Oryctolagus cuniculus: one gene and its partners. The protein of the gene in region 1 interacts with the protein of each later gene in a biochemical or structural test. Links are inferred from orthologs where the notes say so. Each region holds a gene or a part of one and is shown on either strand. Other genes may lie near its edges. The genes, in order: EHMT2, LIG1 and CBX1.

Region 1 (3,472 bases):
CGGGGCTGGGGTTGGGTGCAGCCAGATTCTCACCCATGTGCGTGTCTCCCTCAGGAGGAGGATGGCTCCACCTGCCTCCACCATGCAGCCAAAATTGGGAACCTGGAGATGGTCAGTCTGCTGCTCAGCACGGGACAGGTGGACGTCAATGCCCAGGTCAGCGGCCTGAGCTGCCCGTCCCGCCCGGGCGCCTGGCCTCAGCAGGGGCCTTTGGGCCCCCGTTCACTCTGTGTCAGGCTGCCTGGGTCTGTGCCGTCTCTTCCTCTGCATTTCTCTTCACCCTTTTTCTTGCTTTCTTCCTCTTTATCTTTTTTTTTAATTAATTAATGTATTTATTTGAAAGGCAGAGATACAGAGGCAGAGGCAGAAGGAGAGAGAGAGAGGTCTTCCATCCACTAGTTCACTCCCCAAATGGTCTCAATGACCAGAGCTGGGCTGATCTGAAGCCAGGAGCCAGGAGCTTCCTCCAGGTTTCCCACATGGGTTCGGGGGCCCATGCACTTGGGCCTTCACCCACTGCTTTCCCAGACCATAGCAGAGAGCTGTATGGGAAATGGAGCAGCCAGGTCTCGAACCAGCACCCATATGGGATGCCGGCACTGCAGGTGGTGGCTTTACCCACTATGCCCCAGGGCTGGCCCCCTCTTTATCTGTTTTTAGAATGAGTTCCTGCCTTAACTTCTTTTGTTTTCATTATTTACGGAATACTTTATTAGTTCTGTAATCAAACCCATGTAGATAAGACCTTACATATTTAATACAGTGCGTTATCCCTGTACAAATGGGAAAAAAATTAACATTTCTAGACCAATGTGGCTGTTAGTTTCTGTACAGTGCTAAGTCAACACGGTAAACTGAGATACTGTTCTCAAAGTTGACAGCACAGCTGCAGTTTCTAAAAATTAAATTACATTTATGTATATATATAATTATATTTCTGTAAAAAGACCAGTAATAGCAGAGTGTTTTGTATCAATAGCAGAAACAGCTTTTCCAGTTTCTGCAGTCATTTGAACCAAATTATAGGGACATCTAGCACACTCCATTTAAAAAACTAAAACAAAAACCCCTCAAACAGCAAAGTCCTGTTACTGTTGTGGTACCTGGCACCGTTTTTTTTTTATTAGCTTCTCAGTCATCATCGGGAAAGAAAGCATTCTAGAATAACATCATTAAAAACAGCTCTGATAAAGCACGGTCACTACGACGTGTCGTGAAGCAGGTACAAGATGCTTTGCGCTCCCAGAGGTATGCTCCAGCACCGTCTACACCTGCAGCACTAGAGGGTCCGATTCAGGAGCGTTGGCGAGCTCCCTGCTGCTCTCCGGCAGAGCTGCCTAACTCCCAAGGCGTCCAGTGTGACTCTTAGTAACTGCCGGCGGAGGTGTTTCTGTTTTATTCTCATTCTTGCCGGCCTCGGAATCGCGCTGCCTCTGTCCAGGACTGGGCTCTCGAGGTGGGCTTCTGTGGCCTTTGACCTGACCTCTGCCCTCTCCGCAGCTTTCCTGCCCCAGACTCCGTTTTGCTAAGAAACTTGGGTTCCTTGACCTGGGGAGTATTTTATAGGAAACACAGCCCGGGTTCTGACTCCTAGACTTTTGAGCAGGCAGACTTAGCAAATGCTTTTTTTTTTTTTTTTTTTTTTTTTAAAGGAAAGCACTCGCTTCGTTGCCTCTGCAACCTTGGATAGTAGTCAGGGTCCTACAGCTTGTGAGTGGTGGAGCTGGGACTCCCAGTCACTTGGGCGCCAGGGTCAGCCGCTCCCCACCCTCACTGGCTTCCCACCCGCAGGACAGCGGAGGGTGGACGCCCATCATCTGGGCTGCGGAGCACAAGCACATCGAGGTGATCCGCATGCTGCTGACACGGGGTGCCGACGTCACCCTCACTGACAACGTGAGTGACAGTTTGCTCAGGGTGGGAGGAGGCCAGGCGGAGGCTGGGCCCTGGGGCTCAGCGGCCTGCAGCCCAGCCCTCTCTCCACCCCACCACCTCCCCAGGAGGAAAACATCTGCTTGCACTGGGCCTCCTTCACCGGCAGCGCTGCCATCGCTGAGGTCCTCCTGAACGCCCGCTGTGACCTGCACGCCGTGAACTACCACGGGGACACGCCCCTGCACATCGCTGCCAGGGAGAGCTACCACGACTGTGTGCTGTGAGTCCCGCCCGCCCGGCCAGCCCCGCCCCCTCCGCCCCAGCCCCACCTACCCGCTAACCAACCGCCTGTCCTCGCCCCAGCCTGTTCCTGTCGCGCGGCGCCAACCCCGAGCTGCGCAACAAGGAGGGGGACACCGCGTGGGATCTGACCCCGGAGCGCTCCGACGTGTGGTTCGCGCTGCAGCTCAACCGCAAGCTCCGGCTCGGGGTGGGCAATCGCGCCATCCGCACGGAGAAGATCATCTGCCGGTGAGCCCCCGCCCCAGGCCCCGCTGCATCCTCAGAGCATCCCCAAAACCCTCCCCGTGCTACGTCGAATCCAACCGCTGCCCTAGCCTCCCTGTCCCCCACCCCAAGCTAGGACAGGCAAATGCATGCTTGGTTGACATAAGGATGCCCCTGCAATACTTGGGACATGCTTATGCTAAAGTGTCTTTGCTTGTTCACCTGAAATTCAAGGTTAACTGGGTGTCCTGCCTTTTATTGGGCAGACTTCTTCCCCACGGTTCTATCAAGCCGCCCCTGGCTCCCTGCCCTGGCCCGCAGCCCCGTCTCCCCCCTTCCCGTGCAGGGATGTGGCTCGAGGCTATGAGAACGTGCCTATTCCCTGTGTCAACGGCGTGGACGGGGAGCCCTGCCCTGAGGATTACAAGTACATCTCAGAGAACTGCGAGACGTCCACCATGAACATCGACCGCAACATCACGCACCTGCAGGTGAGCGGGGCCCAGGGGCCTCCCCGAGAGACCTGTGGGCTTTGCAGGCTGCGTCCAGCTGGGGGCGGTGCTGGGAGCCAGTTCTGGAGGTTGAGCTGGCCCTCTGCCTCCCCTTCCAGCACTGCACGTGTGTGGACGACTGCTCCAGCTCCAACTGCCTGTGCGGCCAGCTCAGCATACGATGCTGGTATGATAAGGTGCGTGCCCGCAGAGGCCCGGTCACTCCTGCGAAGGAGCTGGCCTCTACTGCCAACTCCCCAAGACCTTGCTTCTCACCTGCTGCCCCCTTGGGGGAAGTGACAGAGAGGGCGGGGCGAGGCCTGGGACAGTGCCAGGACTGTGCCAGGTATATGCAGATCAAGGGTGTGGCTCGTGCATTTCCTGTTCTCTGACCTCAGAGCCTGTGTGAGGCCTCCCCAGCCTCCCCGTCTCTGGGTTGGGGTCGGCAGTGGCTTTCTCCCTGGAGGCGTGGGGGTCCTGGGCAGCCGAGGTGCACCCCTACTGAAACCACTTTCCTCCCTTCCCTCTGCATCCCAGGATGGGCGGCTGCTCCAGGAATTTAACAAGATCGAGCCCCCCCTGATTTTCGAGTGTAACCA
Region 2 (4,253 bases), on another chromosome or scaffold:
CACCAGCCGCACGTAGCTGTACTTGAGCACGTCGATGAGCCGGTAGAGCGGCGGCGCGCTGGCCCAGGGGCTGCGCGCCACGTGCGTGGAGCTCTTGACAGAGAACACCACCAGCCGCTGCTGGCACCACGCGTCGAAGAAGCGGCTGAACTCGGCCCAGGAGAAGAAGGCCCGCTCCAGCAGCTCCTGCTCCTCCTGCCCCGCCGCCGCCGCTGCGCGGGGAGGGGGCTCCGGCAGCGGCTCCATCCTGGGGCCTGGGGGAGGGGGCGGGGAAGAGGCGCTGGGTGTCAGGCCCGGCCCCACCTGCTCGGTCCCCCTTCCCAAGCAGAGCCTTAACCCCTTATGTCCCGGCGTCCCCCGTGTTAGGACCCCTGGAAAGACCCAAGTGGAACAACGAATAAAGCCCTCAGGGTAACCTGGACGTGAGTGCTGTGTTGCTGAAATATTCTAACTGGAAACGGGTTCAGGAACGAGAACATCGCCCTAGATGTGTGTGGACTTCTAGCCAGGGCCCCCGCCCCCTGCACAACCGGAACTCCCCCCCCTCCGCCCGCTGTCACCTCCCGATGGGCCCCCAGCCCCAGGTTTATCCATGCACCTGCCGCGGCTCCGCCCCAGCTGTGGTCTCCCAGGCGCGGCTGCCGCCCCCAACTCCTCCACGGGCAACCCCTGCGGCTCCCGCTGCCCCAGGGCGCTCCCATCTCCAGGTGCGCGCCCCGCGGTCGGCCACGGAGCCTCTGCCTACAGGTGCGAGCCCCACTCGTGGCTCGTCCAACTCAAAAGTGTCACCGAGGTCCATCGCTGCTCCACCTCCTTCCGAGACGCGGCCCCCAGCTCCAGCGGCCGCCGCCGCCACCATCCCCCTCAACGTGCCTCTTCTTTCTAGACATGGCCCTCGGTCCTCGCGTGGGCTTCTTCACCCCCAGCCGCTGCCCCCACGCCCTCCCACCCGCTGCAGCTCGGGCCCGCCGGCTCCCGCTTCCCCAAGCCCTCTCAGCCCCGCTCGCCGCGGCCCCTCCCAGCCCCGCCGCCCCACCCAGCTGCGCCTCTCCGCTCCCCCAGATGTGCACCCTTCCCGCCCCCCCCACTCACCTACCCACCCCGGAGCGGCGTCCACTTCCCACAATGCCCCGCGCTGAAGCCCGGCCCGGCCCTTGCTCCCGGGATGCCCCGCGCTGCTTCTCGCCTCTCTTCCCGCCGTGCCTCGCGCGGCGGCTTCCCCCTCAACCTTCCTCTTACTCCGCCAGTCACCACCCCTGGGACACTCAGCTACACCACCCCTCATCTAGGGCGAGGCGAGGCGCGGGGCCGCTTCCCGACATGCTCTGCGGGAGGGCTCACCCCACTTCACCCCTTCTCAGGGCTCTCTAGTTCGGAAGACTACAACTCCCAGCGTCCTCCGGGCGGCGACGGCGGGCGGACCACGCCCCTCGGCTCCGCCCCCGCCCCCGCCCGCCGACGTCTCTGCGCGCGAATTCCGTGGCGCGAATTCGGGGCGGCGGGGCTGCGCGGAGCCGGGCCGACTGTGGTGCCGGGGATTTCGGCGCGCGGGGCCGGCGCCAGGCAAGTGGGGGCGGCCCGCGCGGGGGGCAGAGGTCGCTGGGGGCGGCGAGCGTGGGGGCCATGGCTCCGTCAGGTCGGGGCGTCTGTCGGGCAGCGGCCGCTGAGGACGCCTGAGGCGGCCGAGAGCGCGGGCGCGAGGGGAGAGCGCGCGCGAGGGGCCGCCGGCCGCGGGGCCGAGACAAGCCAGGCCGAGGCCCGGCAGTCAGCGGCCGCCGGCCGTGGGCTCGACCGCGGCGTCGGCGAAGAGGCCCGGAGGGGCGTGGGAGGCCCGGAGGGGGCGGGGCCGGGACAGCGTGGGGTGGGCGTGGGCAGTGGGACTTGGACACCGCCCAGGGGGCGGAGCTAGTGCGGCGCGCCGGCTGTCAGGGGTGGGCCGGGCTGGACGCAGGTGGGCACCGGGAGGGAGGTCAGTGGTCGAGTCCAGAGAAGGGCCTAGCGGAGGGCGCGGAGCCCGTGGGGCCAGACCCTGGGGAGGAGGCTAGAGGGGGCGGGCAGGGAGGCGGGGTCTTGACGTCCCCCGGGGAGGGGACGCTGGGAGGGTCGAGGGGGCGGGCAGTGCAGAGGGGAAGAGGGGCGTTGGGAGAGGGCCCTGGCATCTGATACCAGGGGAGAGCACGCAGCGGGGTTCGAGGGGTGGGTGGGAAGGTCCAGGCTGGGTGAGGCCTCCCTGGTTGCATTTTGTGCGGGGGTCCCCTGGGCGTTCCCAGCCTGCAGCGCTGACTCAGGGGCGGCGGGCTTAGACCTGAATCCAAGCTGCTTCTCCGAGCTGGGGCCTCGCCCTGGTGTGCTTCGTGGCCCGCCTGGTAGCCCTGATCCTGCCAGCTTCCTTCTGGTCCGTGGAAGGAAGAACTGCCTGCTCAGGGAGAGAGAACGGAACGTCGGATGTGGTTCCGGGAGCAGGCGGGCAGGGTGTGCACTGGGAGAAAGGCGGGCTCAGCCGTCCCCGCCTGTCACCCACGGACCGTTCACCAAAGACCCCGTAGGCTCCACTCCACAGCCTGCGGGCTTGGAAGATCCTGCTTATCAACCCTGAACTGTCATGGACGGATGTTTCTGCTACCCTAATTTGGGGTAAAAAGCATGTATTGGCCAATGCGTGCAGTACTAAGTACTGCTTAGGCCCTGCGGTCACGTCCCTGAATGAAATAGACAAAATCTGTACCTTCCAGGAACTCGGGTTTTAGCCCCACATTGCGCAATACGGTAGCCACTAGCCACGTGAGCTACTTAAATGTAAACTAATTAGAGCAAGAGACTTAGCTCCTGAGTCTCACAAGGTACATTTCACTTTTTTTTAATGGGAGGCATTTGATGCATGTATTTTTATTTTTTGATTTTTCTAGAGATTTATTTCTCATTTGAAAGGCAAAATTAGAGAAACAGAAGCAGAGAGAGAGAGGTGGGGGGCCTAGCATCAGCTGGTTCACTCCCCAGATGGCCAGCTGAGCTGGTCCAAAGCCAGGAGCTTCTTCCGGGTCTCCCACGCAGGTGCAGGGGCCCAAGGACTTGGGCCATCTTCCACTGCTTCCCCAGGCCATAGCAGAGAGCTGGATCAGAAGTGGAGCAGCTGGGACTCAAACCAGTGTCCATATGAGATGCTGGCCCTGCAGGAGGCGGCTTTACCTGCTACGCCACAGCGCCGGGCCCGCGTTTCACTTTTTTTGTGACTCAAGTTTCAGTTTTAAATTTTTAAGTTTTTTAAAATTTTCTTTTACTTGAAGGGCAGACAGCTATCTTCTGTCTGCTAATTTACTCCCCAAATGCCTACCACAGGCAGGAGTGAACCAGGCTGAAGCCAGTTGCCTGGACTCCATCCAGGTCTCCCACATGCATGGCAGGGACACAGGTACCCTAAGCCATCACCTGCCACCTCCCAGGGTAGAGTGTGCTTTGGCAGGAAGCTGAGCCAGAGTGGAGAGTGCATGGTGGGGTCCACGCCCCCCCACCACAGCCGCAGCCGGGGGGTCAGGAGGGGCTGCTTGTCCGTTAGTATTTGGGGGCAGAGCCGATGCCACTTGGTCCTGCGTGAGTTTGGGGTGTGAGAGAAGGCAGCGAGTCAGTGGGGATCCAGGGTTTGGGTTTGTTTTTTTTTTTTTAAATATGATGTACAGTAAAATACAGCCTTTGGTGTGAATGTTGAGTGGGAAACAGTCACATAAGCACCACAGTCAAGACTCCGTCCGTTACCCCCGGCAGACGCCCTGCCCTGTCTGCCAACAGCCTTCCCCGCAGCCACAGCAGTGTCTGCTCCGTAGCTGGTCTCGGTCGCTGTCGCTCTTACGGAAGCAAACCTCGCCGCCTCCCCGAGCTAGGCGCGCTGTGCTCACGCGCGCCGCCGTGTGTCCTCCCCGGGAAGCGCAGTCCTCTGAGCTTGCCGGCAGAGCTGCAGCACTCCTTGGCTCACAGGGTCTTGTGTGGACGCAGGGTTTCACTGGGAGTGGGGGGAGCAGTGTCCGGAGCCATGGGGTAGGTGAGAGACCACCAGACTGTTCCCAAGGGCAGTGCCGGCGCTGCTCTCCTCTTAGCAGAGCGAGAGTCCAGTATGGCCTGCCGTCTGAGCACGGCACGCTCTGAGGTCGAGTGGTTGGTGTTTGTTTCATATTGCAGTGTTGCTTACTTCATGTTTCTAGAACTTTCTGTATGAGTGCCCTTCGTTCTGCTTGCTTTTATCTGGGCTTGCAGAAGTTGTA
Region 3 (3,644 bases), on another chromosome or scaffold:
AGTAAACCATCGAATGGAAGACTTCTCTCTCTCTCTGCCTCTCCTCTCTCTGTGTAACTCTGACTTTCAAATAAATAACGAAATCTTAAAAAAAGAAAACAGATATGGGGGACCTGAAGCATGCTATCATTTGTTGACAAATGTACAACACCCTGAGTTAAGTTCACTCCATCTCATTGACCAGAATGCTGGCAGTTTTTGGAAATGGGCCAATACCTCCGCTCTCCAAAAGAAATCATTAAAAAAGTTTTATACTCCATTATTCAATCTTTTTTTTTTTTTTTTTTTTTTTTTTTGGAAAAGCAGAGTTAGAGAGGGGAGGCAGAGAGAGGGAGGCTCCACTTCTGACCCGGCTCTCTGCTATGGCCTGGGATAGCAGTGGAATATGGCCCAAATCCTTGGGCCTCTGTACCCGAATGGGAGACCTGGAAGAAGCTCCTGGCTTTGGAATGGTACAGCTCCAGCCATTGCAGCCATCTGGGGAGTGAACCAGCAGTTGGAAGACCTCTCTCTCTGAGCCTTTCTTTCTCTCTGTAGCTCTTTCAAATAAATAAATAAATCTGTAAAAAGAAAGCAAGAAGGAAGGAAGGAAGGAAGAGAGGGAGAGAGCAGTCTTCCATATTCTGGTTCAATCCCCAAATGGCTGCAATGGCAGGAGCGGGGCCCTTCTGAAACCAGGATCCAGGAGGCAGAAGCTTATTCTGGGTCTTCCATGAGGGTGTGAGGTCCCAAGGACTGGGCCATCTTCTACTGCTTTCCCAGGCCATAGCAAAAAGCTGGATCGGAAGTGAAGCAGCCGGGCAGCTTTACCTGCTATGACACAGCGCTGGCCCCCCAACATTCAATCTTAATTTGTAGACGTAGTAGTGAGTCAACCAAAGGAATGTAGTCTTAAGTAATATAAACTACTTTAATTCACATGATCACATGCAGAGAACATGCATTCTAGCTAAATAATTCCTGGTATCAAATCTCCCATAAGCGACACATTTTGAGGATGGCACTGTGGTGTAGTGGGTAAAGCCACCACCTTCAGTGTGACATCCCATATGGGCATTGGTTCGAGTCCTGGCTGCTCAATTTCTGATCCAGCTCTCTGCCATGGCCTAGGAAAGCAGTAGATGATGCCCCAAATCCTTGGGCCCCTGCACCTGCATGGGAGACCCGGAAGAAGCTCCTGGCACCTGGGTTTGGATCAGCCCAGCTCTAGCCATTGAAGCCATTTGGGGAGTGAACCAGTGGTTGGAAGACTTCTTGCTCTCTGCCTCTAATACATAAATAAATCTCTTTAAAAACTGTAAGATTTTCAAGATAAATGTCTTCATTAAGTAGTTTGATGGGGCATTACTAAAACCATATTTACACTTAGAATGAATGGAAAAGGCAGCCTTGCACTATGCTCATGAACAGGAAAGGGGTCCTGCTGACCCCTGCTGGCTTATCCTGGAATTGCACAATTTACACAAACTAGAAAGGATTGATCAAGGACAAAGGAAGAGCTACAAAAATTCTTTGCTAACGCTGGGAAGAGTCTGTGATCCTGCAGCCAGCCAGATCTTTAAGGAGGTGGTAAAGGGGAGGGTGGTCCAGTCACATTTCATATTTTCTTTCATCATGTACAAAGTGAAATGTGATTTCTTCCCTCACCCTCTACAATTTGGATTTTTTTCCCACCTCCTCAAAAAACCAGGCAAAGATCAAGAATCCTAAGAGCCCCTACCTGTAACTCATGAGTTCATTGTGGCAGTCAGGCCGAGGGTCACTATCGAAGGACTATGTCATCTTAAAGATTTCACACTTGGGCAACTGGAATTTCGAAGGTCCAGCTCGTTTCTTCTGGCATGGAACAGATGGGGATTTCTTGCAGACTCACCATTTCATCAGGAACATGAGTTCTCCACTTGAGTCTGTAGCTCCAATGATCCGTTCCGGCTCCAAACCCCGGGCAAAGCCTCGTGGCTTTTCTGACTGTAAAAACCAGATAGGTAGAGCAGTTTGATCTATGTGGAACTGTCATCCAGACTGGAGTCACTCCCATGTCTGCTTAGTGCAATTGCATACCCTTTTGCTAACAGATCATCGATACTTTGGCTCCTAGTAACAGGCCTTTTGGAATCCTTTGGAGTGATTCATCAAGGTATGAATGCTTGAGGTTTCCCATATATGAAAAGGAATAGACTCCAAACAGCAGACTAAATGTTTACCACGACTGTCTCTCCAGGACTTCTCTTCACCCTCAAAAGACAACTGACCTTAAGGTGTTGGATAAATCAAAATTGTTACCACAAATCATATGCTTAATCAAATGATTAAAGCTATCTATTTACAGGAATCGTTTCATTTGCCCTTATATCTGTCCTCAAAAAGTATTATACTTGTTATTCCTAAAGCCTGGATAATGAGGGTAGATCATAGGGTTTCACAGGAGATTGAGAGGAAATGCTTGCTAAGATCTGAGGAGACATAACAAAACTTAATTATTTGGTCTTCAGAAGCTTCTTTGACAGTACTATCAATTCTGGACTAGGAAAAATCCTTATTTCAAGCCTTACCTCTTCTTTCTTCTTCTTTGGTTTGCTCTCTTCTCCCTTATCTTCAGAATCAGAATCAGCTTTGCGCTTGCCTCCCTCTGACTTATCTGTCTCATGTGCTGTTTTCTGTGACTGCAGAAACTCAGCAATGAGGTCAGGGCAATCCAGATTCTCTTCTGGTTCCCACGTATTGTCTTCACTGAAACCAACCACAAGGTACAGCAAGTCACGTTCCTTCAAAGTAAGTATACTTATACAAAGGATATAAATACAGGGAGGACAAGAGGAATTAATATTAATGAACAGCTACTTTTTGCCCAGGACAAAATCAATTTTCTTTGCAAAGAAATCCCTATCTTGCTTTTTCGCACTATACATGTAGGTCATACTCTTGTCAGACCATAAACCATGAAAGCCATGATTCATTTTTTTACTGCATCTATCACAGCTGTGTATCATTAGATTCCCAATAAACACTTGATGACTAAATTCACCTGTGTCAATGAAACTTACTCTGAGAAACCTTTCCACTTTAGGAGGTACTCCACTTTGCCCTTTACAACTCGACGGTCAAGAACTTTTTCCACCACATATTCCTCTTCCTCCTCTTCTAGCACCTCCTCCACTTTCTTCTTGTTTTGTTTTTTCCCCATGGTGCCCGCCAGCTTTCTGGTGTAAAGGGTGACGCTGCTAAAATGGTAAAAGAAATAAAATGGGCATTAGGGTTAGATAAATATCTGAATGTTTGGAAAATCATGGAGATCAGAGGGGACTTTAATACTGCATGCTACTTATAATGTTATGCCTATTTTCAACATATAAAAACCTTTTCTGAAATGTTCAGCTACAGAGTTAGCACTGATAAAACTTTTTTATTCTTGCATATTCATTTAAAAACTTTTATATACATGGGCCAGCATCCCATATGGGTGCAAGTTAGGCTGCTCCACTTCCAATCCAGCTCCTTGCTAATCGCTGGGAAAAGCAGTGAAGGATGGCCCAAGCGCCTGGGCACCTGCCATCCATGCGGAAGACTTGGAAGGAGCTCCTGGCTCCTGGCTTCAGCTTGGACCAGCCCCAGCCATTGTGGCCATCTGGGGTATGAACCAGTGG

What was found.
Region 2: of the proteins of EHMT2 (region 1) and LIG1, one has a biochemical effect on the other in vitro, tested with the Homo sapiens proteins (3 studies listed by BioGRID). The link is inferred for Oryctolagus cuniculus from reciprocal best matches to the Homo sapiens genes EHMT2 and LIG1.
Region 3: the proteins of EHMT2 (region 1) and CBX1 form a complex in vitro, tested with the Homo sapiens proteins (2 studies listed by BioGRID). The link is inferred for Oryctolagus cuniculus from reciprocal best matches to the Homo sapiens genes EHMT2 and CBX1.

The regions. Positions count from the first base shown.
Region 1 is NC_091436.1:138,654,246-138,657,717, forward strand, and holds part of EHMT2 (histone-lysine N-methyltransferase EHMT2), read left to right. Parts: intron 1-54; coding exon 55-156; intron 157-1,791; coding exon 1,792-1,896; intron 1,897-2,000; coding exon 2,001-2,155; intron 2,156-2,238; coding exon 2,239-2,406; intron 2,407-2,728; coding exon 2,729-2,873; intron 2,874-2,992; coding exon 2,993-3,070; intron 3,071-3,410; coding exon 3,411-3,472. UniProt on the Homo sapiens protein: Histone methyltransferase that specifically mono- and dimethylates 'Lys-9' of histone H3 (H3K9me1 and H3K9me2, respectively) in euchromatin.
Region 2 is NC_091449.1:9,771,123-9,775,375, forward strand, and holds the start of LIG1 (DNA ligase 1), read left to right. Parts: upstream 1-1,430; 5' UTR 1,431-1,563; intron 1,564-4,253. Other genes in the region: uncharacterized protein ZSWIM9, read right to left, coding at 1-254, 1,093-1,285.
Region 3 is NC_091448.1:24,363,287-24,366,930, forward strand, and holds part of CBX1 (chromobox protein homolog 1), read right to left. Parts: intron 3,222-3,644; coding exon 3,045-3,221; intron 2,731-3,044; coding exon 2,553-2,730; intron 1,969-2,552; coding exon 1,874-1,968; intron 1-1,873. UniProt on the Homo sapiens protein: Component of heterochromatin. Recognizes and binds histone H3 tails methylated at 'Lys-9', leading to epigenetic repression. Interaction with lamin B receptor (LBR) can contribute to the association of the heterochromatin with the inner nuclear membrane.